Lonchura striata: one gene and its partners. The protein of the gene in region 1 binds, or shares a complex with, the protein of each later gene. Links are inferred from orthologs where the notes say so. Each region holds a gene or a part of one and is shown in the gene's direction. Other genes may lie near its edges. The genes, in order: SART3, USP4, CCNT1 and USP15.

The links.
Region 2: the proteins of SART3 (region 1) and USP4 are in contact, whole or in part, in a crystal structure (PDB 5CTR), measured with the Homo sapiens proteins. The link is inferred for Lonchura striata from reciprocal best matches to the Homo sapiens genes SART3 and USP4. Residues at the interface, in NP_055521.1 of Homo sapiens: Asp437, Ser438, Ser439, Lys440, Gln490, Arg493, Glu494, Trp496, Asp497, Met500, Thr501, Ala505, Trp511, Tyr514, Lys529, Arg533, Cys537; in NP_003354.2 of Homo sapiens: Met24, Thr27, Leu28, Ser53, Trp54, Glu123, Gly125, Leu126, Phe127, Val128, Lys129, His130, Cys131, Lys132.
Region 3: SART3 (region 1) and CCNT1 share a complex: the UniProt entries of both Homo sapiens proteins name them as parts of the 7SK snRNP complex. The link is inferred for Lonchura striata from reciprocal best matches to the Homo sapiens genes SART3 and CCNT1.
Region 4: the proteins of SART3 (region 1) and USP15 are in contact, whole or in part, in a crystal structure (PDB 5JJW), measured with the Homo sapiens proteins. The link is inferred for Lonchura striata from reciprocal best matches to the Homo sapiens genes SART3 and USP15. Residues at the interface, in NP_055521.1 of Homo sapiens: Ser438, Ser439, Lys440, Glu443, Gln490, Arg493, Glu494, Trp496, Asp497, Met500, Thr501, Ala505, Trp511, Tyr514, Arg533, Cys537; in NP_001239007.1 of Homo sapiens: Ser23, Leu24, Asp48, Trp50, Gly121, Met122, Phe123, Val124, Lys125, His126, Lys128.

Annotation. Positions count from the first base shown.
Region 1 is NC_134620.1:11,419,833-11,427,459, forward strand, and holds the start of SART3 (spliceosome associated factor 3, U4/U6 recycling protein), read left to right. Parts: upstream 1-4,615; 5' UTR 4,616-4,662; coding exon 4,663-4,830; intron 4,831-5,924; coding exon 5,925-6,051; intron 6,052-6,691; coding exon 6,692-6,796; intron 6,797-7,627. Other genes in the region: iron-sulfur cluster assembly enzyme ISCU, read right to left, coding at 2,370-2,464, 2,831-2,909, 3,501-3,611, 3,815-3,928, 4,003-4,086. UniProt on the Homo sapiens protein: U6 snRNP-binding protein that functions as a recycling factor of the splicing machinery. Promotes the initial reassembly of U4 and U6 snRNPs following their ejection from the spliceosome during its maturation.
Region 2 is NC_134614.1:10,434,055-10,441,955, forward strand, and holds the start of USP4 (ubiquitin carboxyl-terminal hydrolase 4), read left to right. Parts: upstream 1-4,884; 5' UTR 4,885-4,979; intron 4,980-5,096; 5' UTR 5,097-5,160; coding exon 5,161-5,254; intron 5,255-5,491; coding exon 5,492-5,622; intron 5,623-7,901.
Region 3 is NC_134629.1:6,118,676-6,125,571, forward strand, and holds the start of CCNT1 (cyclin-T1), read left to right. Parts: upstream 1-3,889; 5' UTR 3,890-3,899; coding exon 3,900-4,075; intron 4,076-5,105; coding exon 5,106-5,187; intron 5,188-5,435; coding exon 5,436-5,564; intron 5,565-6,332; coding exon 6,333-6,393; intron 6,394-6,896. Other genes in the region: ADCY6 (adenylate cyclase type 6), read left to right, coding at 473-736, 1,412-1,616, 2,134-2,258, 2,346-2,474. UniProt on the Homo sapiens protein: Regulatory subunit of the cyclin-dependent kinase pair (CDK9/cyclin-T1) complex, also called positive transcription elongation factor B (P-TEFb), which facilitates the transition from abortive to productive elongation by phosphorylating the CTD (C-terminal domain) of the large subunit of RNA polymerase II (RNA Pol II).
Region 4 is NC_134607.1:42,076,344-42,083,307, forward strand, and holds the start of USP15 (ubiquitin carboxyl-terminal hydrolase 15), read left to right. Parts: upstream 1-3,951; 5' UTR 3,952-4,035; coding exon 4,036-4,124; intron 4,125-6,964. UniProt on the Homo sapiens protein: Hydrolase that removes conjugated ubiquitin from target proteins and regulates various pathways such as the TGF-beta receptor signaling, NF-kappa-B and RNF41/NRDP1-PRKN pathways.

The DNA of each region.
Region 1 (7,627 bases):
CCGCTGGACAGCGGCCGGCAGCTCCAGGCGGACATCCTGGCTGCTGCCCAGAACCTCAAATCCCCCCACAAGGCACCGCTGGCCAACGGGGCCCAGGCCGAACAGAATTCCCCTCAGGAGGAGGAGAAGGAGGAAGAGGAGGAAGGGAAGAAGTTGGGGGATGAGCAAGCCAAGCCCCCTGCTCAAAGTCCAGGCGTGGAGGAAGTGGCGAGCGCAGGAAGCAAGGAGATGCCTGATGCATCCCAGGATGGCTGCCAGGCTCCCTCTGGAATCTGAGGCAGGGACACAGTCCCGGGCAAGCCTGAGGAGCTGCTGGCTTGGGACTCATGATGGACACGGTGGGTCAGGCTCCGTACGTACGTGGTGGCTCAAGGAAGCCCCGATGAAGATCCCATTCCCTCCCAGCTCCCCCGACCCTGGTGCTGATGGGATGCTCGTGGGGGGGGATTTGCCAGCTGGTGGTTTTCCCCAGCACTGGAACGCCATCAGCCCCAGCTCCTGCTGCCCAAGGGGCTTCTCCCACCCCAGGCACTGGGGGTGTGTGCATCCCCCCAGCTGCAGCTCTGCCCCCACTGTGCCACCAGCTTCCTCCCAAATGTTATTTCAATCAGCAGCAACAGCCTGGTCCATGCCAGGCTCCTGGCTGGGAGCCGAGTCCCTCTGGGAGAAGGGATGGGACCAGGGCTGGGGGTCTGTAGGACATGGGTCAGCTTTGCCCATGGCCACCCAAGGGAAAGAGGGATGAGGATTTAGGACAAGGACCCTTCTTTCCACCCCAGAGCCCAGCTGGATTTTTGCCTCACTTCCTGAACCTTTCAGCTAGAAATAAACATTTCCTCCGCACAGCTCCTCTCCTGTGTGTCTCTGCAGCCGTGGGGTGGCCAGGGGACCGTCCCTGTGTCCTTGTGCTCCTCCAGGGGCACAGCTGGATTGCACTCCAGGGGCACTGGAGCCCTGGGCAGGGTGTTATCAGTCCCCACATCAGCACATCACGTGCCCTTCCAGGAAACCTTTATCTCGCACCCACAGCTGTGGGCTGAGGAGGGGCTGTGGGGACTCAGCCGTGGCCCTGGGGTGCAGCTGCTGCAGTGGGAACAGCAGGGAGACCTGCAAGGTGAGTGAAGCTGTGCTGCCTCAAAAGCAGCACGTCCCTGTATCCCTGAACCTCCTGTATCCCTGGGTTTTATCCCATTATGTCCTTGCCTCAGGACAACCTTCCCTTGGGAAGAGAGTGCCAGCACAAAGAGCGGGTTTTGCCCCAAAGCAGACGTGAATGTGTGAAGTTTCCCTGATTTTGTTTTTAACTGGGCAATAGCAGGATTGTTCCATGAGGGAGAGGCACATTCCTCGCTGCTGGAGGGTGCCAGCTGAGGAATCACAAGAGGGACCTTGTGAATGACATACAGCAATGTGTGACCTCTGTGTTAAAAATTACAAATATTGTGCCCAGACAGAGCAGAATGAGACTTTTTTTTTTTTAAAGTGTGGTTTTAAATGTTTAACAACACCCTCGGCATGAAAAATGGGAAGTGAGGTGTCTTGTTGTGGGTTAGAAGGTTAAAAAGTGAAGTCTGCCAATGTGTTGTCTGCTTGGTTTGGAAATACTCCTCCAGAAAAGAGGAACTCTGGGAGCTCCCCATCAGCTCTGCATTCCAGCTCTGCTATTCCCCACCGAGCTTCCAGTCTCCTTAGAGAATCTTGGAGTGGTTTGGGTAGGAAGGGATCTTAAAGGTCATCCAGTTGCAAACCCCTTCCTTGGGCAGGGACACCTTCCTCTAGCCAAGGGTTTACAGCTGTAAGAGTGAGTGAAGAAGTGAAATTCTTAAGAGAAAACACCCCAAAATTCAGGCTCAGTTCCTCAAACAAGAGCTTCAAAAATTAAGTGGCGACAGGATGGGAGCAGAGACCACCAGTGTCTCCTGGTCACTTTTCCCTTTGGCACCTGCAAAGGTTCCCAGAATTCCAAGAGCAGGAATTTGCCCCCGGATTGCGAAACCAACCCTGACACAGCCGGAGCCAGGGGCGGCCACACAGCTCTCACACACACATCCAGACCAGGGCAACGCTTCCCACTAAATTCCATCAAATATTAGGCAAAACTAAACATCTTCCCAAAACAAAAATTGAAAGTGCAGCCCTTCCAGTACCGGACAGCGGGGTTTTGTCTCCGGAGCGGAGTCTTCCCGCGGCATTCCCAACGGGATGGGAGCCCCCATCCATGTGAGCACTACGGGGTGGCTGGACACCACAGGGACACGTTGTGCGTAACTTGTGCGTATCTTACAGCTTGAGTAGTGCACAGGGTCCTACAACAGCTCGGGAATTGCACTGCAGAGTGAGGAGGGAGGAGGGGAAGCTGCGCAGGCGGTTCAGGCATTGTCGGCTTTTTTGTCGGATTCTCTGTTTGGATCCTGCTTCAGTTTGTAATCGGCCAAGGCAGCCTTGATGGCGTCTTCAGCCAGCACTGCAAAGCAAAAAAAAAAGGATTTTAAGGAGAACTCAAAAGCTTTTAAAACAAAAGATGAAGTAGAAACAAAAGCAGGCAAGACCAGCAGCACAGGCTGATTTGAGGAGTAGAATCTGAATGGAATTCCTAAAATACTGAATTCCTCCAATTTCAATAGTGTAATTCAGAATCTGATTGTTTATTATCAGTCTGCTGAACCACAGACTCCAATATATCAAAGTGATCTGAAAATTCTTGAATTAACGCTGAAATCTGAACATGTTTTCTCTTAAGGACAACGTTGTGCAGAAACTGTTTGGAAAACAGCATCCAGAAGCATCTGTGCTATTTCCAGAGTATCTGAGATCCAGGGTTTTTACTTACTGGAGCAGTGCAGTTTGACAGGGGGAAGGCAGAGTTCCTTGGCAATATCTGTGTTCTTGATTTTCAGCGCTTCATCAACCTGAAACACAGGCAGAGGTGGTCATGGGCCTTGTTTGTGTTTGCTAAGAAGGTTTAATGCTCCAGAGCCAGCAGAATCCACAGGGGACATCAGCTCAGCTGCCCAGGGCAGTGAGGGATGTGGGAATTAAGGAATGTCTGACTGACATATCAGTGTCACACACTGTCCCCACTTGGCCTGTTTCAAGTCTGTTCATCCTCTACCAAAACACTGAGGTGCATTTACTGCTGGCAGAAATGATCTAAAGGTTCTCCGTAACTAAAATTTCTGCCATCAGCCTGGTTTTGCTCATTGCATAAGACAGAAGATAATTTCCTGGTGGAATTGTTTACTTGGGCACGTGCTCAGGAGTGGAGCTGCTGGGGAAAGGTTGGACTTGATGTTGCTATAGAGGGCTTTTCCAACCTTAATGGTTCTCTGATGGTTGTTGAAAAAGACAATTATTGCCCTACAAGTGAAGCCCTGACAGTGCTGGCAGTCACTTCTACAGCACAGAGTAATGCAGGGATTCCCTGGAGAGCACTTCCTACATGATCCCAACAGAAAACACAGCACGTGGGAAGCTCTGCAGCTTTCCCGGAGCTCCCTCACCGTTTTCCCTTTGACCCACTCCGTGGCCAGCGAGCTGGAGGCGATGGCTGAGCCGCAGCCGAAGGTTTTGAAGCGGGCATCCACGATCTTGCCATTCTCGTCCACTTCCACCTGCGGGAGCGTTTTGGGGACAAGTCAGTGCCCGGTTCAGCTCAGCCAGGTGTTCCCAGCCGGGCCCGCGGGGAGCGGGGCTGGCCCTGCCCCGGGCACAGGGTGGGCATGAGGGAAGCCCGTGCTGTCCCCTGAGGGGAGCTCTGACCCTCGAAACAGCCCCATGTGACCCCACCCAGGTGCCACCGGGTCCCCAAGGTCACCTGTAGCTTCATGACGTCGCCGCAGGCCGGGGCGCCCACCAGGCCGGTGCCCACGTTCTTGGCATTGCTGTCGAGGGAGCCGACGTTGCGCGGGTTCTCGTAGTGATCCACCACCTGCAAAGACACAGCGTCAGACAGGCTCGCCCCGCGCTTCCCCCATCCCTCCCCGTGTCACGCTCGCCCCTCACCTTCTTGTGGTAGCCCAGCGCGGCCGGGGCCGGCCCGGGCCGGGGCCGCAGCAGCGCCGCTCCCGCCGCCCTCAGCGCCGCCATCTTCACTGAGGGGCGGGGCGGTGGCGCCGCCCTTTTATAACCTCGGGCGGGCTGGCCACGCCCTCAGGTCTCGCCCAGGCCACGCCCCCTCGCCTCCGGAGCTCGCGTCTCCCCCCGGTCATGCGTTGGCCACGCAGGCGGCGGGAGCGCTGGCGGCCGCGCTGTGGCTAAGGTGATCAGTCAATAAATAAACGACAGAAACGGCGTTGCAGTCGCGCCAGGGTTCCCATCGCGACAGACGGCGGCGGCTGTGCGCACGCGGCGCCACACTCAACATGGCGGGCCGGCCGCGCCGCGCACGCCACGGACCCTCCCGGAGGCCCCCTGATGGCCACACAGCGGGGTGCCCGCGGTGCTGCCTGCGCCGCGGAGCAGAAGACAAAGGGTCGAGCCGTGGCCGCACTCGGCGCAGCGCTGCCCCGGTGCGCGGGCCAGTGCGGGGCTGGTGTCGGGCTGAGGATCCCGGTTCTTCCCGCCCGGTTCGGCCGGCGGTGGGGCGGAACTGCGGGACGGGCGGCGCGGGGGCAGCCGCGGCGGGCGGCGGAGCGCGGCGGGCGGCGAGCGGAGCTGCATAAGATGGCGGCGGCGGGAGCTGAGGCGGCGGCCGAGGAGGAGAAGCGGCTGCCGGAGGGAGACCCCGAGTCGGGCGGGGACTCGGATGATGAGGGCGACTCGGACTCGTCTGGGGACGGCGAGGATGAGGAGAAGGAGAACGAGGCCGAGATCCAGCGGCTGGAGGAGCAGGTGGGCCCGGCGGGGCAGCGGGTGTGGCGGGAACGGGGATAATCCGTGTCCGCCCGGGCGGTTTGGTGTCAGGGTGTGAATTTTTCTGCTCCTTGTGGGTTTCTTCCAGGTCGGGATATCCGGTGATTTAACGCCGTGAATGTCTGGAGTCCTAGATGGGAGTTGAGCAGCTTGAGATTCTTCTTTTTTTTTTTTTTTTTGGAAGGGAAATAAGAGGGAAGTGGAGTAGGCAGTTCGTGTTCATTCAGAAATGTGAGCCGGCTGCCCGCGTTTTTTTATTGCCTTTAAAGAAATGAAAGCGCAATTCTCTCTTTGAGCAGTGGCCGAGGGAGCGGCCGGGGCTATGTCTGGGGTTAGGTTAAATCTGAGTGTGAAAAACGCCAATTTTAAAGTTTTGAAAGTTTAATAATAATAAAATGTTTATGAAAATAGTAATACAATTAGAGTAATAAAGTTTAGAGTTAGGACAATTGCAAGACAATAAAAAGCAAAGAATTACGGACATCCAGATGCTCTCGGTCACTAAGTCACGAAAAGCATCCCTTGTGAACAAAGGAATAACCTTAAAAGCAACAGCCTGTTGTGTATTCATATTTCTCATACATGATGCATAAATTCCTTGCAAATTACGAACTCTTTTGGTTTTTGTCAACTTCTCCTTAATCCTGTTGGTTCCACAAAGACGGAGAGAAGGTGGAAGAATGTTTGTTTTTTCTGTTAAGGAGGCTGTATCTTTTTATGGGCCCTCTTCACTGACATCTCCGTGTGAAGAATTTCTTGATTATCTCATCTTCCTGCTTGAGCTTGTAACAAGTCCTACATCGCAGAATTTATGTTGTAACTTAAAGCTACATTTAACACACTACTTAAGAGAATTAATAGAATTAATACAGCATAACTTTCTGACGTTACACGTATAATATTCATTGTAGCATTTGCGAAAAGCCAATCATAAAATGTGCATTTTTCACATGAGGAACTCTGCCTTGCCTGGCTCTGTGATCACACCACGAGAATTGTGTGATTTATTTTCTGACTTTTTCACGTCCATCACTCAACAGGGCTTTTAAATTTTTTGTTGTTGTTTGTTAAAGCTTTCCATCAATGCTTTTGACTACAACTGTCACTTGGATCTGATCAAGCTGCTCCGGCAGGAGGGAGAGCTGGTGAAGCTGCGCAGAGCTCGGCAGAAGATGAGCGAGCTCTTCCCCCTCACTGAAGGTACAGAGCATCCTCTGCTCCCTGCAGGTGAAGCATCACCCGTGCAAGATGCTTCAGCAGTGAAATAAAATATTCAAGCCAAATTTTCAGCACCCTCGCTCCAGGGGGATGTGATCCAGAGCTCAGCAAACTCCTGGTCAAAATTTCTTAGGCAGGCAGCAAAGAAAATTCCCTGCTGGTGGAAATTGCGGGTGCTTGAAGTGGGGATTTTTGTTTTATTGCAGGGGCTGTGGGGTTTTATTCTTGGAAAGGGATGGGGAGGCCCTGGCAGAAGTTGCTTGGAGAAGTTGTGGCTGTTCTTGGATCTCTGGAAATGTCCCAGGCCAGGCTGGACAGGGCTTGGATCAACCCTGGGATAGTGGAAGTTGTCACTGCCCATGGCAGGGGATGGAATGGGATGATTTTCTAAGTCCTGAGAAATTCCAGCTTTTCTCTTTAGTAAAAATGTGCTTGTTCAGCACCAATTTAAAAGCTTTCTGCCTTTTATCTGAAATTAATTTGGAATTGTGGAGGCTAAAATTCCTCTCTTTGCCTTACTTCCCCTCCTTTGTTTTAATTGTTTTGCTAAAAACTCATCAAGTGGGTATAACGTGTTATTTCTGAATATTAATGATCTTCTTTAATTTTTTTTTCCTTCCAGAAATTTGGCTGGACTGGCTGAAGGATGAGATAAAAATGGCTTCAGAGATCTCTGAGAGAGAGAAGGTTTATGAGCTGTTTGAAAGAGCTGTCAAAGATTACATCTGTAAGTCATCAAAAAAAATGTTTTAAAATGGGTTTTGTTGCATCCAGATTTGGTTTTGTAGGGAAATCTATTGCTTCTGTTGTAACAAAGAAATTGGGTCAAAATTTCAAATTAATTTCTAAACTCTGAATGTGGAGTGATGCAAAGGAAGGATGTGATGTCTGGTCTCTCTATTTCTCAGGAGATGCTGTAGCTTAAAATTTTGGGGATAAATCCCTGAGCTCTTTGGGAATTGGGGTAAAGAGCTGGAAAAATGAAGCCTGAAGAAGTGGAGGGAATACGGAGGTAAATCCCCCCCAAAAGTTGCGTACGGAATGTCACATCAGTGACATTACCTGGTATTGGTGATCCCTGAGGAGGAAGGAATGGAGGTGAAGAAGTGAGGAATTATCCTCTGGATCTGCTGGACTTCATCTGGGGTTTGGAGGCACTTCTGGAACCCAGGGCAGTCCCAACCTGGGGGTCCCAAAATGGAATTTGGAGTTGGTGGGAATGGTGCCAGGCACTCAGTGCTGTTCTCCCACCTCTCCTTCACCTGCAGGACTCAGCTGCTTCAGGAGTTGCTGATCAGGGAAGTTCAGGAGTTTGGAAAGAGGAGTAGGAGGAGCTGCTTTAATCTGAATTATTCCAGAGTGTGACAGCTCTGTGGTCCCAGCTCAGGAAACAGGAATTTGCTGTTCAGGCATCTTGGTGCATCCCTACTGTGGTTTGTGTGGCAGAGGTGACAGGCAGGGCCAGTCCCTGTCAGCAAAACCACAGGAGTGACACCATTCAGAAGGAAACTGGGGCTGCTGCTGCTGAACCAGCAGCATAAATACAATCCCCAAATAT
Region 2 (7,901 bases), on another chromosome or scaffold:
AGGACGACATTGAGTTGCTTCTGCAGAAGGTTGCCTAGAAAGTTGTGTGCCTTTTGTCCTTGCTGTGCACCTGGTTGTTTTTCTTTCAGGGAGCTGCTGCTTTGGCAGAAATCCCAATGTCTCGTGCAGATTTTGCTTGTGATGGTGCATCTTCCAAATCCTTGAAGTGTGCTTGATGTTCTCAAAAGTTGCACGGGAATGTTTGGGAAGGTATGTCAGGGCAAGCAGCTGTGGGTCTCAGTAGTTCACTGTGATTCTCTGAATAAAAAAATGTGTACTTTCTTTAAGACTGTGACTTGATATATCTGGGTGAGTTGGGTAAAACGTGGTGGGTCTGTTACCTGTTCCTCAGCCCATGTGGGTGCTCACAGGGGCAGACTTGGAGCACTCGAGCATGGCTGTGCAGTCAGGCTGAACTAAACCGAGGGCATGAGCTCTGCAAGCTGAATCAGTACCGTGTCCTGCCCCATGTGTAACAAGCCTGGCAGAGCAGGAGGGTGGCAGGAACAAACAGACCTTGCCCCACTGCTCACTGGACCTCCCATAAGGCTTCCACACAGAGGGAGCACGCTGGCACGTGGCCAGGGGTTGATTTTACACTGGCTGAATTCCAGTGTGGCTATCAACAGGCCACAACAGGATAATAACTGCTAGGGCAGGGAGATGAGCGATTCTGCAGCTTGGGGGGACCCAGACCAGGAGCAGCACCCACTGTCCCTCCCCTTGTCCCAGAGCCACTGCCCCCTCACTGGCTTTACCCCATTTTGCACCAGTGGTGGCCCACCACAGATTCTCACATGCCTGCCCAGTCCTCCATGAGGCCTGAAGCACCTTTGTGCATCCCCAGCACCTCACGATGCATGGAATCATGTGACAAACCAGTTTGTCCATGTTCCCAGTGCAATACCACCCCATTCAACACTTGGCCCATGGGAACTGTGCCTTGCCTCAGAGTGTCCTTGTTTCCCTTTGGGCAGGGGAATTGTATATGACACTCCCTAGTGCAAATGTGCCAGGAAATATTTCCTTTTTCTTTTCATTTCTTCCATAACAGTTTTTGAACTCCTGCCAACCATGGAGCTGAGAAGTACTTCATGAGAAATTGCTACAATTATACCAAATGATCTTGGAGGTCTTTCCTAATCTTAATGATTCTATGATTCAGTAATTCTGACATATTGGCCCTGCTCAGCAATCATGGTTTTACAGGCTGCTGTTAAATGACTGGAATTATGATTAGTTTCCCATGGGAAATCATGAGACTGTGCCAAATTTCACCTGCCATCCTGCCCAGTCACTCAACTGTTTCTACAGGAAAATTTTCACTCCTTCAATTGCTCTGTGAGCACATTTTCATTGCAAGCCACTCCTCACAAGGCCTTGTAGCACTGCATATAAACTTGGTGTGGGACTGAGGAGTCCTAACCCAGACTAAAAACTTGGGCTGTCCAAGGGAAGGCATAACACTTTCAAGCATTCATGCACTGTTTTCATAATAAAAACACTCAGGATTTGAGGGTTTGCTTGGTTTTTTGTGTTTTGTTTTGTTTCTTTTTTTCTTGTTTGTAGCTTTTCACTTCACAAATTCACAGTGGCTTTGTTACTGTACCTATATCCAAGGATCCCTTAAGGTTGAACAGAGACTGGGTAAACCTTCCAACCAGCACCACCCTGCTTGCTGCTACCCCCTGAGTCATTGAGCTTTGAACTGAGATTGCACAATCCTCACCGGGGGATTTCTAAAATTCCAGAACAGCTTCACAGAAAAAAACAGGATGTTTTCAGCAGCTACTGAAGCTTTGCAGCAGATGATGCATGATGTAGGGGATTATTTTTTCAGTTAGTTCTACTTCCCTCATTAAAGCAGGATGTTGAAATAGGTGGAGAGTACAGGGGATCATGAGCAGAAGAAACCTAGGGCACTGAAAATCTTTCTTAACGTGAGCTGTGGTACTTCCTCATTCCTGACTCACCAAGCCTGAGTGTTTGAGTGGGGCCTCCTCTGTTCCTAACCAGCCTCTGGCTCTGGCCAAGGCCCACAGCTACAGGGAGCAGAGCCCAACACCTGCTGCAGCTCCATTATGCCAAAAAAGGTCTCTCAGCAAGCCTGCTGGTCAGAAAGAAACCTTGCACCATGCTAATTCTGTGCCTATGGCCAAGGGATTTCTTTACCTCTGACTGCTGGGACCGTGCTAGCAGCATACCAAAGCAATAGGTCAAGAACAGTCCCAGCTATGCCAGAAGCAGTACAGTGACATGATTTCAGGACAAAAGTGAACCATGCCAGCAGGAAAATGAACAATCCCAGTGTAGGCACACCAGCAGGAACTCTGCAGCGTGGCTGAAAGCTGCCCAGCCTTGTTATTCCCAGTCTCATTTCAGCATTCCCTGGAGCAGCTGGCTCTGGGGTCCAGTGGGCTGCAGCAGAAGGCACTGGCTGGAGCTTCCTGGCAGTGACAAGGACAGTGGAGCACGGTCGCCACACAGGGTCTCACACCCAAACCTTGGCTGGTGTTGTGCTGAGAGGAGGTGAACATTTCACCACAGGCAGCAGCTCTGTGCTGAGGGGAGGCATGAAGAATCCCAGGCAATTCCTCAGGGATTATAAATCAACCCATTTTTATTTCTGTAATTCCAGAGAGAAACAGACTGACTCAGAGGGCAGCCTTAAAATAAATACTACTTTAGCACAATTGGCTGCTTCTGTGGCATGAGGATGTTGTCCTTTCAACATCTCCCGTCTGTCACATACACACTCCTACATTACACTTTAATTGCAAACACTTAATCCCTCTGTTAGTCTTCCTGTTTTTCCATTCTTCTGCACATCAAAGTTTCATACATTCTCTCCTTCCTAGAAAGTGTTTGTCCCCTACTTGTCCCTCCTCCCAGTGATTCTTTCTCCCATTAGCTGTTGATAGTTGCCACCAACTTCTTAAATACTTCAACAAGTTCAAATATTTGAAGCTGTCAGGAGTGTTAACTAGTTCCAAGAAAAATTATCCTTCCTGGTCCTTTCCCCGTCTCCCAGATTCCCTAGTGTTCTGCCCACCAAACCCTGGGCTATCTGCTGAAATCCTGGCTGATGAGAAGTGTCTACTCAACAGAAGTGCCATCAGTCTGAGTCTGAGATCTTTCTTCTTCAGCCTGTACAACGTTCTTTCAGCTATTTAAATTCCCTTTCTCCTGGGCAGCTTTCAGTCACTGTGCTTGATCATTGCCATCATAAGGCAGGCTGGGAACACCTGCCTCCAGTCCTGTGGTACTTGAGGGAGTTTTGCTTCTGTCAGTGCCACTTTCACACCCAACAGAATGAGCTGGAGATCAGGGCAGAAGTCAAGGGCTGAAAGTGCTTGAGGAGCCAGGAGAACACAGACACCTCTGTCTACAATAAAACTGGAACAATGTAATTTTCTTGCACTGAATCAGAAAGGCCTGAATTAAACAATTTAATTGTTTACCACACTTTCTATGAGGAGTCAGAAATTCATTAGCAGAGTGAGGTCAGCCACACAAGCACTATCTCAGAATAGCTGACTCATTTTAAAAACACACCCAGCCTTGCCATAATAGGGTGTGTTAGAGCCCCAAGGGGCCCTGCCCTCGGAGAAAAACTACAGTAACAACACTCAACTCATACTGGAAGGAGAAAATGGTCCTTTCAGTGTTAACTGAATGGACTTGCCCTGCTGTCAGGAAGATAAAAGGCCTTTATCACATTACCCTGGTTGCTGCAGCAGCGCCAGGCTGGCAGAGCCCACCTGCCCATGGTGCTGCCAGAACGCTCCTGGCACAGGCAGTCACAGCTCCCCCACATCACCCCTGCCTTTTTTACACATAAAGGGATTTCTTTGGTATGTTATGGACAAATTCAATTGGGGAGGCCAATTATAGATAAATCAATTAATGAGAATTGTTAACAAGAATTAAGTTAACAAGAATTAAGCAAGCGGCATCACAGCACCCCCACATGACCCCTGCCCTTTTTACACATAAAGTAAAGGGATTTCTTTGGTACATCCATTTAAGGCAAATTGTTTTTTAATTCTTCCCAAGACCCCTCCCTCTCAAGGACAGGCTCCCTGACAGCACAGGACATGCTGCTCGAGGGATCAATGCCAGTATCTCCTGGAGCAGTTCTCTCCTGAGACACCACCCAAACCCCTGTGCACAGTCGCTCATACACACCCGTTCTCCCGTTCATTCCTGTAACGATTTGAAGTCCAAGGCCTTCGTCAGTGTGCTCCACGTGAGAAAATGGAGCGTCTAAAACTGAAACCACAGTCCAACCAAATGGTTCTGCCACCTGTTTTGTCCGAGAGAGAAAAATACAATTTTTTTGAAGAATTAAACGTTTCAGTGTGGGTTCGATCTTCACTGAGCCATAATTCAGGGAGGAGATTCTTGCTGAGAAAGTGAAGTACACAGTGTCTGAAGCCCAGAGCAGCGGGCTGGCAGCAGCCACCCAGGGCAGGTTTGGGGAGGGCTGGGCTGGTGCTGCTGCAGAGGCGGAAGGGAGCGAAGCGTTCCCAGAAATGCTTTTAGCTGAGGATTTAAAGAGGCTGGCCCGGACGCCCTCTCGACTACGAAGCCCCCTTGGGACGAGGTCCATGCCCGCGGGGGGAGTGCCCCGCTCCCCGGGCTCCCCCTGCAGGCCCGTAGGGACGCTCAGCGCAGCGGGCGCCCCACGCCCTGAGCGCCCTCACGGTGCCGCCGCAAGATGGCGGCCGCCGCCATAGCGCGCGCGGCCCCGCCCACCTCGTCACGGCGCGCGCGCGGGCGGGGCGGGCCCCTCTCACTCGCCCGGCGCGTGCCCGCCCGCGCGCTCGCGCGCGCTCCGACCTCCGCCCGCGCCGGGTCTCGCGCACGGACATGGCGGCGGCCGCGGCCGGCGGGGAGCGGGCCCGGCCGGACCCGGCGGAGCAGCGGGCCGAGCTGGGGCCGCTCCTGGCCACGGCCCTCCGGCCCGGCGAGTCCTGGTGAGCTCACCCGCGCCTCCCCTCCCTCCCCGTCCCCCTCCCCTGCGGGCGGCGGGGCCTGCGGGCCGGGCCGCGCCGCCGCTGAGGGGCCGCGCCGGGCGGTGCCGTGTGTTGCAGGTACCTGGTGGAGAGCCGGTGGTTCAAGCAGTGGAAGAAGTATGTGGGCTTCGACAACTGGGACATGTTCGGCGCCGGCGATCCCAACCTCTTCCCGGGTCCCGTCGACAACGCTGGCTTATTCCCGGGGCCCATCGACAACTCGGGCCTGTTCGGCGGTGAGTGCTCGGGCAACGGGCCGGGCCCGGCTCGGCCGCGGAACTTCCCCGCGCTGCTTTCGGTTTCGGGCGCTGCAGGGGACAGGCGGCCGCGCCGCCCCGAACGCGGGGGGACTGGCCGGGCTCTGCCTCCCTTGGAGCGCTGGCGTTCCTTGGTTCCTGGCAGTGCATGTGTGAGTCTGGAGAGGAAAAGGTGATGTTTGATGCCCTGCTCTCTGCCGTCTGTCTCCTTTTTAGATCCACAAACTCAGAGTTTGAAAGAACACCTAATTGATGAGCTGGATTACGTGCTGGTGCCCACCGAAGCCTGGAACAAACTAGTAGCGTGGTATGGCTGTATAGACGGCCAGCAGCCTATTGTGAGGAAAGTAAGTACTGCTGAATCAACTTCTCCTCCTCTTGGTTTCGTTTTTTGATCTCCCTTGAGCTTAAACGATTTATTTCGCCAAATATCAGCTAAGATGGGATTCTCACTAGCTCTTTGGAGATAATAAAGTGATATCTTTTTGCCTTGTCTGAAAGAACAATTTGCCTGTATTTCAGCCAAAATGCTTGAATATTCAGGGGTTCTGAGTTGATGGTTTATTTGGGGAAAGAACGCTGAACCTTGTTCAGGTTATGAGTCTTTGGACTAATACGGTGCTTTTATATTGCATGGAATAGTTTGTACTTTGTGAACAAGTGTAAGTTGTTGGTCAAACTAGTTTATCTTCCAGGACGGAATGAGTCTTCGAGTACAGATGAATTTAGGGGCTTCCTCTGGAGTGTAAGGTGATTTTTGTTTTCTCTTCCAAAATTGTGTGATTCTAAAATCTTTATAAAGAGATGGATATATGGTTTTGTTCTGTAAGTCATATTTTGGTTGATAAACATAGTCAGATATGCATTCTGAATACATAACCTGTTCTGCAGGGTGAAATTGGCAAGTGTTTGTTTTTGGTTTTTTTCTTGGTTGGTTGGTTTTTTGGAATGTGTATAGGTAAAAGTTTTTTTGCTTTTATTTTAATTTTAGCCAATTGTACTGACTAAATTGAGCAATGCCAGTCTGTGGGATTCATTAAAAAACTAATCACTACCCCAAGTGTTGTTATAATGTACAGGATTAACATCACTTATGTTTAAGCAGCACTATGTTATAAGTAAGGATTACTTCAAGGTGTGCAAGACCTAGCAAAGTGTGGCATCAGAAGGGAAGTAAAATCAGGAAGTGCTGGAACGTTGTCATTCAGTGTGGGCTATAAACTGTGTGTTGTAAGAAATTCTGATGTCTTCAGGACTGGTGAGTTAACCCAGGATCACCAGGTTACCTCAGGTTGACTCAGTAGACAGAACTCCCATGGAAGCAGGAACTAGGAGAGGAGAAAACAATTATAGCATGTAAAGGAGATGTGGTTTTAGAGAAACAGGTAACATCTTGAGGAATTGCAAGTCTGTGTTGAGAGGGAGAACTGGTACTGCTAGTGATCAGTGCCTCTCCAAGTGAGGGAGCTTTCCTTGGTGAGCTGGCTGATTGCTTTCATGAAACCTGGCACACTCCCTCTGAAAATTTGAAAGTTGACAAGAGACTTGGGAGCTATCAGGGAAACACTTGGGCTTAACTGCGTGAGCCTTCTTTGTTGTGATATCTGATGCTGCTTTCAGTGGTGCAGTGACCAAGGGGGTAGAGCTCAGACCTTGTGCTGGTTTACAGACCTAACGTGCCAGACTATTCTGGGTCTAGTTAAGAGTAAATTTTTCAAATTTTGAATTGTTGTGAAACTGTCAGTCTCTGCTGTTAACCTGGTAACTGTATGGGGTTTTTATATGTAAGAAGATGCTAAAATATAGCAGAATAGTAGGTTTGTGGGATGTTACAGCCTCTTGCAAAAATCCAGTAGGTCAGTGAGACACAGAAGCTGCACTGCTGCACCTGAGTAGGATGTGGGCAGGATCTGGTTACGGTGTTCCCCAGATAGCATTAGAAGTCAAGCACTTAAACTTGTGGTCCTTGAGTGCTTTAAGATTTTCCTAAAGCTGCATCAGCTGTAATTCATGTATTAAAATATCCATAAAAGTAGGATCTGGGAAACGATTTTCAGGCATCTTTATGGTTTTATAAGATATTTCTTCCATCCCTATGTTTGATGATCAGAGGCAAGTACAGGAGGATTAGACTAGATTTATTTGTGGTTCAGGTTTCTTTTGACAGTCTCAAACCATATTTTTGGGCAGTCATCTATAGAGTCCTATGGGAAGGTTTATTATGTGCTTCCTTAGCAGCAGAGTTGTGCTGAGATTGCTGTCCAGTGGCATGACATGAGTTATACTTTGGCAGAGAACAAGGAAGCTGGTCAGATGCAGTTTAAAAGACATCTGCAGGTGATTAGAGACTCCTTTCCTCTGTCCTAATGGACACAATGATCTGATCAGGAACTTCTTGGAAAGAGTTCTTTTTATTTCTGAACATGGCTCTTGTTTGTTTCTAACTACAGAATACTGGAGAACAGGAAGTCAAGTTTAGTGACATTTATTCTGAAAAATGAAAGGAAAACTTTTGTCTTGGTTTCTTTTCTTAAAAAGAAGTCTGCTCGTCAAGAAGCTGTTTAAACAGGGGGCTTTACTTTCTGTTGTAATAGCAAAGTACTGAAGATCTTTCCAAATGTGTTTT
Region 3 (6,896 bases), on another chromosome or scaffold:
CCTCCTGAGACTGGGACTGACCCCCTCCCTGCACCCCAGGACTGGGGTGATAATGGGCCTTCCCATACTCAGACAAGATTGACTCCCCTCCCTGAACCGTTGTGGTTCTGGGACTGATCCTACTCCCTGGGATTGGGGTGACCATGGGATGGGAACTGTCTCTTCCCCTACTCCCTGGGATTAGGATGGCTGTGGGGCTGGAACCAAGCCCTTCCTTCCATCCTGAGACCAAAACTGACCCTTCCCTGCCCCCCAGAACTGGGGCAGTCATGGGACAGGGACCAGTCCAGGGCCAGGACCAACCCCGTCCCCACACCCTGACTTGAAGGTGGCCACAGGGCTGGGAGCAACCCTTTCCTTGCATGCCAGCACTGGGGTGACCATGGGGCTGGGACCAACCCCCACCCCACACTGTGCTGCTGGGGCAGCTGTGGGGTCCTGTGGCAGCTCCCAGCTGGGTGTGTGCCCACAGGCAACGGGTGAGAAAGAGGAGATGGAGGAGCTCCAGGCCTACAACCGGCGGCTGCTGCACAACATCCTGCCCAAGGACGTGGCCGCGCACTTTCTGGCACGGGAGCGGCGCAACGACGAACTCTACTACCAGTCCTGCGAGTGCGTGGCCGTCATGTTCGCCTCCATCAGCAACTTCTCTGAGTTCTATGTGGAGCTGGAAGCCAACAACGAGGGTGTGGAGTGTCTGCGGCTGCTCAACGAGATCATCGCCGACTTCGATGAGGTGCTGGGGCAGAGAAGGGGCAAGGGGGTGCATAGGGGTGAAGTGCACAGGGGTGGGGTGCAGTGGGCAGGGTTCGTGTGGTGCTGGAGAGGCTGTGGGGCAGCAGGGATGAGGCTGTGGTCCAGGGAATGTGGTCACAGGGTGCTGGAAAGGCAGTGGAGCAGTGGGGATGAGGTACAGGATGTATGTCATCCTTGGAGAAGGCATGGAGCAGCTTTCATGGAGCCACAGGAATGGATGCAGAGGCTGTAGAGCACTGTGGATAGAGTGCACAAGGATGAAGTACAGGAAGATGGGGTGTTGGAGAGGCTGTGCAACAGCAGATTTGGGGAAAGGGTGCAGGAGATGGAGTGCATGGGGTGCAGGAGAGGCTGTGGAGCACCATGAATGAGGTGCAGATGGGATGCACAAGATATAGAGAGCCTGCAGAGCACCATATTTGGACAGGGCGCAGGAGATGGTGTGCAGGGGGTGCTGGAGGGGCTGTGGAGCACCATGGAGGAGGCAGGGGATGTCATGGGGTGCTGGAGAGGCTGTGGAGCAGCATTTGTGGAGCCGCAGTGCAGGGTGCAGGAGGTGCTGGAAAACCCACGGAACAGCATTCACGGAGCCATGGGACGGGGTTGGGGTACCCTGTTGAGGTGCTGCGGGGGTGAGCCCAGCCTGTCCTCCCAGATCATCAGCGAGCAGAAGTACCGGCAGCTGGAGAAGATCAAGACCATTGGCAGCACCTACATGGCGGCATCGGGGCTCAACGCGGCCACCTACGACCGCGAGGGCCGGAGCCACATCGCGGCACTGGCCGACTACGCCATGCACCTCATGGAGCAGATGAAGTACATCAACGAGCACTCCTTCAACAACTTCCAGATGAAGATTGGTGAGCCCTTGCACACCCCTTGCACACGCCCCTCTGCACCTCCAGCCATCCCACACTGTTGTTCATGGCTTTGTGCTGGCGGCTCTTGCACCCCTTTTTTCCTCTCTCCCAATCACCTCTTCTTTTTCTCTTTCATACCCCATTTTCCTCTCTCACACCCCTTTTCTTTTTGCACCCCCTTTTCTCCCCTCCTGTCCTTTTTCCCCTCTTGTACCCCCTGTTCCCTCCCTCACCCCATCTTCCCCTCTCACCTGCCCTTTCCCCTCACCCCTCCTTCCAATCTCTCCCTCCTTTTCCAATTTCACCCACCACCCCTTCTTTTGCCCCCCTCACCTCTCTTTCACCCTTTTCCCCTCTCATCTCCCCTTTCCCCATCACCTCCTCTTTTCCCCCTCCACATTCCTCTTTTCCATGTCACTCTCTCCTTTTCCAAACTCACCCCCTCACTCCTCTTTTCCCCTTCCCTCTTCCCCAAGTGTGGGGGGTTCATCCCTGACTCTCAACCATGTACCCCCAGGCCTGAACATGGGCCCAGTGGTCGCAGGGGTCATCGGGGCTCGCAAGCCCCAGTACGACATTTGGGGCAACACCGTCAACGTCTCGAGCCGCATGGACAGCACTGGGGTCCCCGACCGCATCCAGGTGAGTCAGGGGTGGGAGGGACACAGGACACCTGCCCAGAGACCCCCCCTCCAGGTCTCCCCCTTTACCCCTGTGTCCCCCCTCCAGGTGACAACAGACTTGTACCAGGTGCTGGCTGCCAAGGGCTACGTGTTGGAGTGCCGGGGGCTGGTCAAGGTCAAGGGCAAGGGGGAGATGACCACCTACTTCCTCAATGCGGGCCCTGGGGGTAGTTAGGGGGGTCCCCATGGTGTCCCCCCCATGCCGGGGACACCCCCAGCCTGTGCCGAGCTCAGGCGAAAAAAAAAAGGAAAAATCCCCAAATACACATATTTAAAAAAAAAAAGGGAGAAATGGACACAAGGAGGTGGTTGGGGGGCGTGGGGAAGTAACCCTGTGCCCCCCTCTGTGGCTGTTTTAGGGGGTGTTTCCCAGCCCTGCACCGGGGTGTTTTTTGTGGGTGGGGGTCACGGTAACCCCCATCCCTTTGCAGAAACCCCACATGTGCCAAAGAGGGGAGATGGGGCCCCCCAGAAAAGGGACTGCGGGGGTTTTGGGGGCAGGGGGTCCCCAGCCCCCTCCATGTGCCAAATTGAAGTGCCGCCTGCGGGGGTGGGGAGGCGCAGGCCCAGCATCTCCGCAGCCCCCTCACCCCCCGGGGGTCCCAGCTCCCTCCGGGGGGACTGTGGCGGGGAGGGGGGGGAGGGTGGAAGACCCTCCCCCTTTTAAATGCAAAAAAAAAAAAAAACCCTAATGAAGTGACTTTTTTTCTTTTTTTTTTTTTTTTTTTTGAAGCAGTTTTGGGGTTGGGGGGGGGGCTCAGCCCGGGGGGAGTGGGGGGAGCACTCGCCCCCTCATCCCAGCACAGACCTGAGGTACTTTGTCCTTCGTGTGTACAGATAAATTATATATAAAACACTTTGGATACGAGCTGTGGCCTGGCTTGTGGGGCAGGGGGGCACACGGGGCTGCCGGTTGGGAGGGGGCCCGGGATCCTAAGAGGGGAAAACACCGAGACCCAGTGAGGAGGGGTCCCGGTGGGCGACACAGCGGAGTCCCGGTGGGGAGGGGAGGGTCCCGGCAAGGGAAAGAGGGTGGAAAATCGGTTGAGGGGGGAGTACAGGCAACGTCTTGGGGTGCGGGGGGCTGCGGGACCCCGGGAAAACCGGATCTTGGAGGGGTGGGGGGATCCCGCTGCTCCGTGATCCCGGGGGAGTGGCGGGGGTGGGGGGGACATACCGGAGGGGTCCATTGAGGTGCCGGTGAGGAGGGTGGAGTGCCACACCGGTATGCCGGGGTTCCTCGGGTGTCAGTGCGTAGAAGAGGGAGCCGAGGAGCTGGCGGTGGGGCCACAGGGGCCGCCCTAAGGTGCGGGGGCGTTGCGGGACCCCCCGAAAAACCGGAGCCCCTCACGGCGTGAGGGGAAGCGCGGCGGGGCGGGGCGGGGCCAGCCGTGAGGGGCGTGACCATTCCGCGAGGGGCGTGGTCAACCAATGAGGGGCGTGGGCTCTCTCAGGCCCCGCCCCTCCAACGTCCCTCCCTGCTTTGGAACGCTCGCGCCGCCAACGGCTCCCCCCCGCGCCCGCCCACCCGCCGCTTGACGTCATCGCGTCGCCGCGCTGCGTGCGCACGCCGCGTCCCCCGCGCGGGCGCAGAGCCGCCATGGAGGCCTCGGCGGGCGGCGGCGGCGGCGCCGGGCCCGGGCGGCGCTGGTACTTCAGCCGCGAGCAGCTGGAGCGGAGCCCATCCCGCCGCGCCGGCCTCGACCCCGACAAGGAGCTCTCGTACCGGCAGCAGGCGGCCAACCTGCTGCAAGACATGGGGCAGCGCCTCAACGTGTATCCGGCCCGCGCTAGGCCGCGCTAGGCCGCGGGTGGGAGCGGGGCGGGGCGGGGAGAGACGGGAGGGAGTGAGGGAGAGCCGGGAGGGGGTGAGGGGAGAACCGGGAGTGGGAAGAGCCGGGAGGGAGTGAGGGAGAGCCGGGAGGGGGTGAGGAGAGACCCGGGAGTGGAGGGAGCCGGGAGGGGGTGAGGGGAGGGCCGGGTCTTGTGAGGATCGAGGAGAGCGCGGCCCCGGCTCGGGGAGATCGCTGCTGGGGTGTCGGGAAGGCCCGGCCCGGCTCTCGGGGCGGGGAAAAGCCGCTTTTCCCGTTTTTGGCTCGGGAAATGGCGTTTCGGGCGCAGGGAAAGCTGTGCTGGCGTGTTGGAGAGGCTCGGGCAGGCCTGGCCGGCCCGGGAGAGGGGAGAGCTGTGCCGGGGTGCTTGGAAGGGAGCGGCAGGCCCGTCCGGGTGAGCCGTGCCCGCGTTGGGATCGAGGAGATTCTGGGAGCGGGGAGAGTCGAGCCCGTTTCGAGGTGGTGGAGATCCCGTTTCACGGGCAGGGAAAGCTGTGCTGGTGAGTCGGGAAGCCCCGGCCTAGGAGTGGGGAGAGCCTAGCCTCTTTTAGGATTGAGGAAATCCCAAAACGAGGGAGTGGGAAAAGCTGTGCTGGGGTGTTGTGAATGCTCGTCCCACAAGTGGCCAGGAAAGCCGAGCCTGTTTTAGGACCAAGGAGATCCCAAAAAGGATTTTGGGACCAAGGAGAGCCGTGCCAGGTTGTCAGGAAGGCTCGTCTGGGGAGCAGGGAGAGCAGAGCCTGTTTGGGGTCGAGGAGATCCCATTTTGGGAGCAGCGAGAGCTCTCCTGGCATGTTGTGAAGGCTCAGCTGGGTTGTGGAGCGCGGTGAGCCTGTTTTGGGCTTGAGGAGAGCTGTGCTGGGGTGCAGGGAGGGCCTGTCCTGTCCTGGTGCTGTTGGCATGTGGGGTCTGTCCCAGTGGCTCCCCTGGGCCTGTCTGGGGGTCTCTGTGCCTTTCCTTAACCCCGTTCCCAGCTCCCAGCTCACCATCAACACAGCCATCGTGTACATGCACCGCTTCTACATGGTGCAGTCCTTCACCCAGTTCCACAGGAATGTAAGTGCTGGGATTTGGGGTGCGGTGGGGTGCTGGGAACCCCCAGACCCACTCCTGCTGCTGCCTGGGAGGGGGACCCACCTTGGGAAGAGGTTTGGGAAGGGAGAGGGACCCTTTTGTCTCTCCTGGTGGTGGCCAGATTTGAACAGCCTTCATTCCCTGAAGGAATATTGAGAATCCACCTGGTTTGTTTGTTTTAATCTTGAATTTAGTGGCTTTTTAAGCAAACAGAGTGTTTTCCTCCACAGTCGGTGGTGCCAGCAGCGCTTTTCCTGGCAGCCAAGGTGGAAGAGCAGCCTCGGAAGCTGGAGCACGTCATCAAGGTGGCACATGCCTGTCTGCACCCCCAGGAGCCTCTGCTGGACACCAAGAGTGAGGTAAATGTGGGGAGGGAGCCTCAGGGTGTGCTGTAAGCGCTGGAGGCCCGAGGAGCAGGAATGGCACCTGGGATCCACCCTCCCGGGGTGCTCAGGGGCAGCTTCTCCATCCAGCTTCTCCTGCAGCAGAGAGATTTGGGCTTCCCCCCTTGTGTGCAAAGCCTCTTCTCTGCTGCACACCTGGATGCAGATGTGCTGTTTGCCTGTGTCCCTGGAGCACTGCCCAGGAGGGTGTGGAGCAGAGGAGCTCCACTGTGGGAGCAGTTTGTCCCAGCATCTGTCTCAGTGGGTTAAAAACGTTGCTGAGCCCTCATCTCTTCAGACAGCCCCTTTTACTTGCAGCTGAGCAGCGAGTCCTGCTGGAAGGGGCAGCTTTTTCCAGGGAATCCTACAGAAAATTAAAAAACAGCAGGAAAAGCGGGTGATTCCTGCACTGCTCGTGTGCTACCCTAGGAGTGTGGGGGACCAGCACCCAGGGCCCACCCAAACACTCTGATCCCTCTGTCTTAGAATCTCCAGATGGTTTGGGTTGGAAGGACCTTAAATCCCATCCCATTCCACCCACCTGCCACGGGCAGGGTCATTTTCCACTCGCCCAGCTTGCTCTGAGCTCCATCCAGCCTGGCCTCAAACATTTCCAGGGAATCTGTGCCAGTCCCCCCGTGCAGGGAGATTCCCATTTTTGCCCTGGAGAGAAGGGTGTTAGGAATGTGCAGGCTTGATCCGAGTGCCTCTCCATGAGTAACCTGCCTGTCCTCTCAACCCCAGGCTTACCTGCAACAAGCCCAAGACCTGGTCATTCTAGAGAGCATAATCCTACAGACCCTGGGTAAGTTCCTCGAAGCGGCCGGACTGCCACACCAATCCCAGAGCCAGGAGAATTCCACAGGCTGGAGAGCCTCACCCCTTCCACAGAGTCCACACAGCAAACCCCGTTTTTCAGCTCGACTCCTGTTTTAACATCAATTTTTCAGGTGTAACTTGTGCCAGGCTCAGTGCTGAGAGATTTAAGTGTGGTTTGTCACTTTGATTTTTTTTTTTCCCCTAAAAAAACCAGGATTTGTGCTGCTTTGGACACTGGCCCTTGTCCTGGGTTGTGCTTTCCAGCTCAATCATAGAATCATGGAATGGTTTGGGTTTGAAGGGACTTTAAAGACCATCCAGTTCCAGGCCATAATGCTCCAGTTCTGTTGCAGGAAGCAGTTTGTACTGAGAGATGTCTTAAAAAATTGGGTTAGAAGTGAATATTTTGATCAAATAATTCATTGGGGGAAAGTCCCCAGAACTCAAGAAACCAGGAGCATTTTCTGGGTGTTTCTGGAAGTAGGAGTC
Region 4 (6,964 bases), on another chromosome or scaffold:
GTCTGAAACAGGAGTTTATGGCTGCGTTCAGCCTCTGTGAATGAGGTAGGTGAGGCACAGACTGGATTAGAAACAGGATTCAAACCTACAGTGCAGTCATAGTTTTATGTCTGGGGCAGAAATGGGTATCTTAACTACATGCTATTTCTCCATCTATGAGACTGTCAAATTTATACTGCATTTTTCTTCTCTTTAAGAAGTGTATATTGTTATTTGCTTCTTTCCATCATTCAACTCATGCTTTCTTGGGCACCCCTAATTTTGTTACCTACTGCATTTTTGTTCCTGTATCTTCCCATGTCACCCTGATTCTTAAGACTTTCTAAAGCCTTCTTAGTTTACATTCTGTTGGAGAACTTTCCCACACAATTTCTGTAAACAACATATCGTTTACATTCTTTGATGGGGATGGAGAAACTTGATGTACTAGTGGTTTGTCCAATGTCTTTGGAGAGGTGGCCCATTCAGTCTCCAATCCAATGTCACCTTTGGGAAAATATAAAAGTCGGAGTCGGAGAATAAACTTTCTTCTTTACCTTGCAAATAGCAGGTGGCTCGCGTCGTGCTTTCACGTGTCCTATAGCGACATCCCCTCATGTTTACCTTACAGAAGCCCTGCTTTGTCTTGTTTAACTTTAGTCTACAGTTATTTCTGCTTTCTTGGGTGTTTAATTGAACTGTTTAAAGGAGGCTTGAAATTCCATCACTATTTAAAAATTACCAACTTCCATATAGGAAAAAAAAACGGATAGGGAACAAAACCAGCAGGTGGTGGCACTAGTAGTTGACTTTTTGCTCCACTTTGAATCCACAAAAATATATTCAGCTAATTAAATTAGCTCTATGAAGGTTTCCATTCAGATTTCTCAACCAAAAGTCAAATTATCTATGTTTTCCTAATGGTATGTGTGAACACTGCATTGAAAATACACTCATCGTATCTATTCTAGTATGTCAAACTCTGTGTCTGATGCAGCTTCCAACTGAAAAGGAAACTCACACAGCTACCAGTAGCTGTAAGCTCAACACAGACCACAGGGGAGGGGAATCTGAAGCTCTCATTTCCTCCTCCACAAATTCCCAAATGTGGTGTAGGTGGTTGTCCCAGTTCTCACCAGGACTGGGTTCATCTTACAGCAGGGAGGGGCATGGCCAGGACACAGGGTTTATACACTGCCACCTCACATCCTTGCCAGTGGTGGGGAAAGGAAACCTCTTCCTGGGACAAGGAGTATCAGGTCTGGCCAGCTCAGGGAGGCAGAGGGAGCAGTCGTGTGGCGCTGGCTCTGAGCTGGAGTGGTAGTGGTGGTGTGGCTGTGGCCAGGTCAAGCTCATGGTCAGCAGTTTTGCATGTGAGTCACTCTCTCTCTTTTGAACACTTCTGTTATTAACACTATTGCTGTTACTGTCCATTTTCTTAGCTCATTGCTGTTTCCAGTAAATTGTTCTTACCTCAACCATGATCTTCACCTTTTGGGCTTCCAATTCTTCTTTCCAGTCACGCTGCAGGAGAGATGGGGGAGTGGAAGGGAGAGCAAGTGAGCAGCATGTGGTTTGGAGTCACAGTGGGAGCACTAAACTTAGGAGTACCATGCTTAAACTATGGCAGTGGTTTTGAAAGTAAATAAAAAGTGGTGAAGTGAATTATTCTGTATTAAGCTGTGAATGAGACTTGCAGCTGTCTGTTATTTTTACAGAATTTATTGTGTACAGAAGTTTCTACTATTGAGATGCAGAGCTTCTCACATCGCCAAAAACCAAGCCATATTCTAAGATTTGTTAGCCAAGTCCTCTAATTTACTTGAAAACAAGAACTGAGAGTTTAAACTTCATGTTGTATTGGGAATCAATAGAATCATCAGTTTAGACATTTTGTTATCTGCAGCCCACTTGCTGAATCTGTGCTGCTATACACTGTATTAATTGCATCCTTTTTTAAGATCAAGGTTTAGAGCCACAAAAACCATGTTTACAAAAATTCATCCATTAGCAAGGAAGTCAGGCAAGGTGGAAGGCCTACTGATAGCTGGAAGGCGTGCCACCTCAGCTAGCTTTACAATATTCTGCATTCACTTCTATCACAAGCAGTAAGATATAAATCTGTATTAAAAATGCCTGGGTTTTATTAGAGAAGGTAGGTCATTCATCACAAGTTGCAGTGCTGTTTCTATTTACTAGGTGGTTTAAAATTTAAAGATTCTCAGGCACTGTCTAGGACTTGGAAATAATTCCTTGCCCACTGATAAAAGCTTTAAAAAAAACCCCAGATTTAATACTAACATTTATTTTCCAAGAATGTGAGTTAAGTTTCAGATACTGTTCAATTATGAAAAAGAATTGTTTCACATGAAGCACTGGTAATCCTAGAAAGAGTCTTACTCTTGTCTCTCCTTGGCAATTCTTAAAGCACTGCTTCAAATGGTATATGGTATGCTTTGCTGTCCCTATTTGTAGCACCTAATACCTGTCTAGTATCCGTTTCTGTACCACAAATAGATTGAACTCAGGAATCTGAGATCTTTTACTGAGTAACTGCAGTTCTGCAACACAATGCACAGACGCATGGGTGGCTCTAGGTGAACCTTCAGGCAAATTAAACTGTTGATGGTCCTGCTACACCCTGATGAACAATGAAGATGTTTTCCAGCACCGTGAATTGAGAAATATTTACCCAAATTTCCATGAAAATATAATTTCTGTATAAATTCAATTTTGGAACACAGATAACTTTCAGAGTGTAAAACACTATTCTTACCTGTTAAACCCTGGCGTGGGGTGGGAACTTGTCAAAGTTGTTTCTAAACTTGGAGATTATAACCAAGAAATTTATTCCTGAAGTGGCTGGAAACCTTCTTGTTGTTCAGTTAAGTTTTCTTTCATTAAATGTAGTCATTAGATCCACACCTTTCCCTAACATTTATGTTTTACTTCCTTCCCCCTCCTCCTCCTTCGGTATTTCACATTCCAGCTCCTGGAGAAGCCATGAATGTTATTGCCAGTCGCTCTGAACTCCTGGGAGTTCTTATATATTCAGTATGATTTTCGTATTATAATTTTGCCTTTATTTCCATATCATCATCCTCACGGATAATCCTAATAAAACTTACTTAGCTTTGTACTACCATGTCTGCGTAACAGCTTTCTATTTGTTTTGCAGTGCACATATCTAAATAGCACCTTTTAGTGCTGCTTGTAACAGCTGCATGCTACTATGTGCTAATTAGCTAATAATGCCTAATGCATTAACTGGCAGCCTGAGGTACGGTGCTGGTGTTCGTCACACAATGCGGCTGGCTGTAAAGACTTGGGCACAGGAAAGGCCGCAGGTATCCAGCTGCGGGAATTGCACTTTCACTAGCTAGATCTAAAAGAACAAACTCTCGTATCCAGGTGTTTGTAACCAGCACCCCAGCCCTAAATTCCCACACCATTTTGAGTCTTTGAAATCTCTATACAAACGGGAAGACAGAGAGAACCTGGTTATGTAACGTAATATGTGGATATGTGGCCTTTTTTTTTTTTTTTTTTTTTTTTTTTGGCGTGTGTGTGAAACGCCAAGCAACAGGTTGCGCTGTTTGTACAAGGTTCCGGCAAGAGCGACTGAAACAAACAAAGAAATTATCCCTTGGTTTGTGCGAAGGTCTGGAAAAGCTAATACGAGTCACACAGACGATTTGAACCCGCCACTGCATTTGCACAACAGCACAGAGGTATCAGCATATGATTTACGCTGACCCAAACCACTCATCCGGCAGCGAGGCGCAAGGGACCTAGTTGCGCACCCAGCGCTCCAATTAAGGCGCTGAGGGAAATGCCGCCCGCCCGTCCCTCCCGGGCTGGGGGGGACGGGACCGGGGGCGGGACGTGAGACCTCCCGGCCGCGAGGGGGCGCTGCCCCGCCCGGGCCCGCTCCGGCCCCCGCCCCGCGGCTTCTGGGAAGGGCGGGGCCGCGGCCGGTCCCTGCAGGCGTCACTCCCAGCATGCAGCGCGGCGCGCTCCTGCCCCTGCCGCCGCTGCCGCTGCCGGGCGGAGAAGATGGCGGAGGGAGGTGCGGCGGATCTGGAGACCCAGCGCACGGACGTCGCGGCGCTGCTCAAAACCGCCCTCCGCAAGGGCGACACCTGGTGAGGGAGGAGCGGGGGGGCTCGGGCGGACCGGCGCGGGCGGCGTCCCTCCGCCCCCGGGACCGCTTGGCTGCCGGAGGGACCGACCTCCTTCCCCTCGCCCCCCCCCAGGCGCTCCCGGGGGCGGCTCGGCGTCTGTGCCGCTGCCGCGGCAGAGGAGGCGGGCGGCAGGGGCAGGGAGGCAGAGCGGTACCGCCGCTGCCCGCCGCTCGGTTCCCGCAGCTCCTGCCAGGCGGGAGCGGCCGCCTGGGTGCGGCGGGGCCTCGGCCTGGCCCGGGCGGCGGGCAGGCACCGAGGTCAGCGCCCCGAGCGGAGGGCAGGGAGGGAGCGGCGCGGCTGCCGGGGCGCGCTGCCGGGTGGCAGCCCCGGATGGCGGGCCCGGAGCCCGCACGGGGCTTGTTTTGGCTGCGCGAGGAGTATTGAGGTGGGGGAGAAGAGCTCTGCTAGCAGGCGCTTCTTCCATTATCCAGGCTGAAATGGCCCCGGCTTCACCTTCACGTTATCAGAAATATCTTTGCTTTGGCCTAGGTGCCTTGTGCCCGTCCGTGGCTGTGACAAGCCTTGAGTTTAAATTTTACTGTGACTGGAATCGTGTTCATTTCCTAAGAAAGAGTCCCTGAGGGTGCAAACGGACCCTTATGATACCTTTTCAACAACGAACGTTTGAAAAATATGTTTTTCTGGTCAGTCTTGAAATATTCCTTAGTATGTCATACAGATTGTCAACAGAATAATCCACCGTAAAATAAGCACCTCTTTTTGGCGTGTATTTGGTAATTGGGCTTCTATAGTTGTAGTTCTATGAGGTTAGGAAATGGGGCTTTTTTTTTAGGAGGGGAGAAAATAAGGAACTGACACTTTTTCCACGACTCAATCTCTTCATCACATCCTGTGTGAAACTATCACCCAAAGACAAAGGTTGAAGCATTAACTTACAGAAAATTAACTATGAATACACAGAAGTAGAACTAGCCCGCCTCATTTCAGCTGTCATCACTCACTGTTCCAGTTCTATAAAAGACTATATTTAACAGTGTTGATACTGCAGCGTGTGTCAGAAGCATAAATTCTGATGCATTATTCAAATACTGCTGAGTATATGTTCAGTTTTGGCATAGGAGCACACTGCTCTTGAAACTGGAAAAAAAAGCTAGTAAAAGGAAATGAATTCACATAGTATTGTTGAAAATGACCAGCAGTAGTAAAAGCGTGCTCAGGCTTGATGTCTTTCAAGACTATTTTTTTAGGGTTCTATTAGGTAATTCCCAGTTACTAAAACAATGTTTCAAGCAATTAATACTCTTCAAAGTGATAGTATTTTTATGACTAGTTGACAGCATGACCGAAACAGTAAGTTTACTGTGCCGTTTACTTTTTTTAGTATTGATATTTTAATATAGAAGAATCAGTTATGTGGGAAAAGCTTCTAAATGTTCTGTGGAAGTATATCTAGCTGTGATTGACACTGATATAAGTCAAGTGTTTCAAAGCTGAATAAGCTGCAGCAGAGTCCCATTAAGTTTTACTCTTGAACTGTTAAATCGAGCTACATAAACGTTTATGCTTGTGCATTCGTAGGATTTATATTTTGACTGTGCAGCTATCTTTACAAATTAAATGGTAGGTTTAGTCCCAATGCTTTTATAGAGGTGTTTTGTAAATGGCTTTTTGATCTTTTGGGACATCAGTAAGGAAACAACAGTTAAGGTGCTGTAAATCATGGTTCAAAATTGCATTGATTTAGTAGTAAATACCGCTGAAAAAAATTTCAGGAGTGCTATACCAGCTTGTTCTGTTTGTGCTTTAAAACACTCAAATGCAGTCCTTTTAAAATGCTGGTTTGTACATGGAAAGTCTTTTCCATGCTCTTCAGAATTTAGAATGGGGAGAACAAAAAGCTACATATGGAAAGTATAAAGCTTTGGGGGTTTTCTCTTAAGAAAAAAGCAGCTAAAGAATAGGGCTAAAGAGAGGTAAATCTTAGAAGCATCTGTGAAGTAGCTGATAAATTTCCTTGTAAAGTTCTTCATGTACATTGCAGAGACAAAGAGATAAATTTGAGTTGAAATGCAACATTTTTAGAGTTAGATATTGGAGGAAGAATTGCTAGAGCTAGAAACCAGTTGAGCAGGTGGTTTAGTAAGCTGTGGAGTTTGTTACATTAGATGTTTTTAAGGGTAGCTTGGGAATAGTATGCATTAAGCTGTATTGCTTCAGTGGACAGACAAGGTTAGTGTCTTTTAACTGCTTCAGCTTCAGGGGCAAGATTTTGGGCTAGTTTGTCCCAGTGGTCTTTTTTGCATTCTTTATGGCCAGTTAATAAATTATTAAATTCTAAGAGTTTGAGGATTCTTCTATCTCTCCATTTAGCCTACTTTTCCAAACATACATTAAATAAACATCAGATTTTTCAGATTTTTCCTTTGTTCATCAGTTCTTTTGAATAATGTTGTCTACTTTTGTTAGTAAAGTCAGTATGAAAACTACAGTTTTGTTCTACAGAACTTGAAGTAATATAATTTTTACTTCTTACAATATTGTCCAAAGGATCTTCAGGTTCTGTGATTCTTTTGTTTTAAGAAAAGACAAAATGCTGCATTTCATTGTATGTCTCACAGTTTTAGGATCTGATACAATTACATCTCAGTATTTTGAAATTCTACTGGTGCTTGACAAGTGAGGAGAATTTATTGTCTGAGGAGATTTTATCTTCTCATTTAGAATGACAAAAAATATTGGTTGTTATAGCTGCAGGCAAATTTGAACTCACTAGATGTCTTCTGCTCTCAACTTGAAGAGCTGTTGATGTTCATCAGATTTTTAGGCACAGTATAATTTCT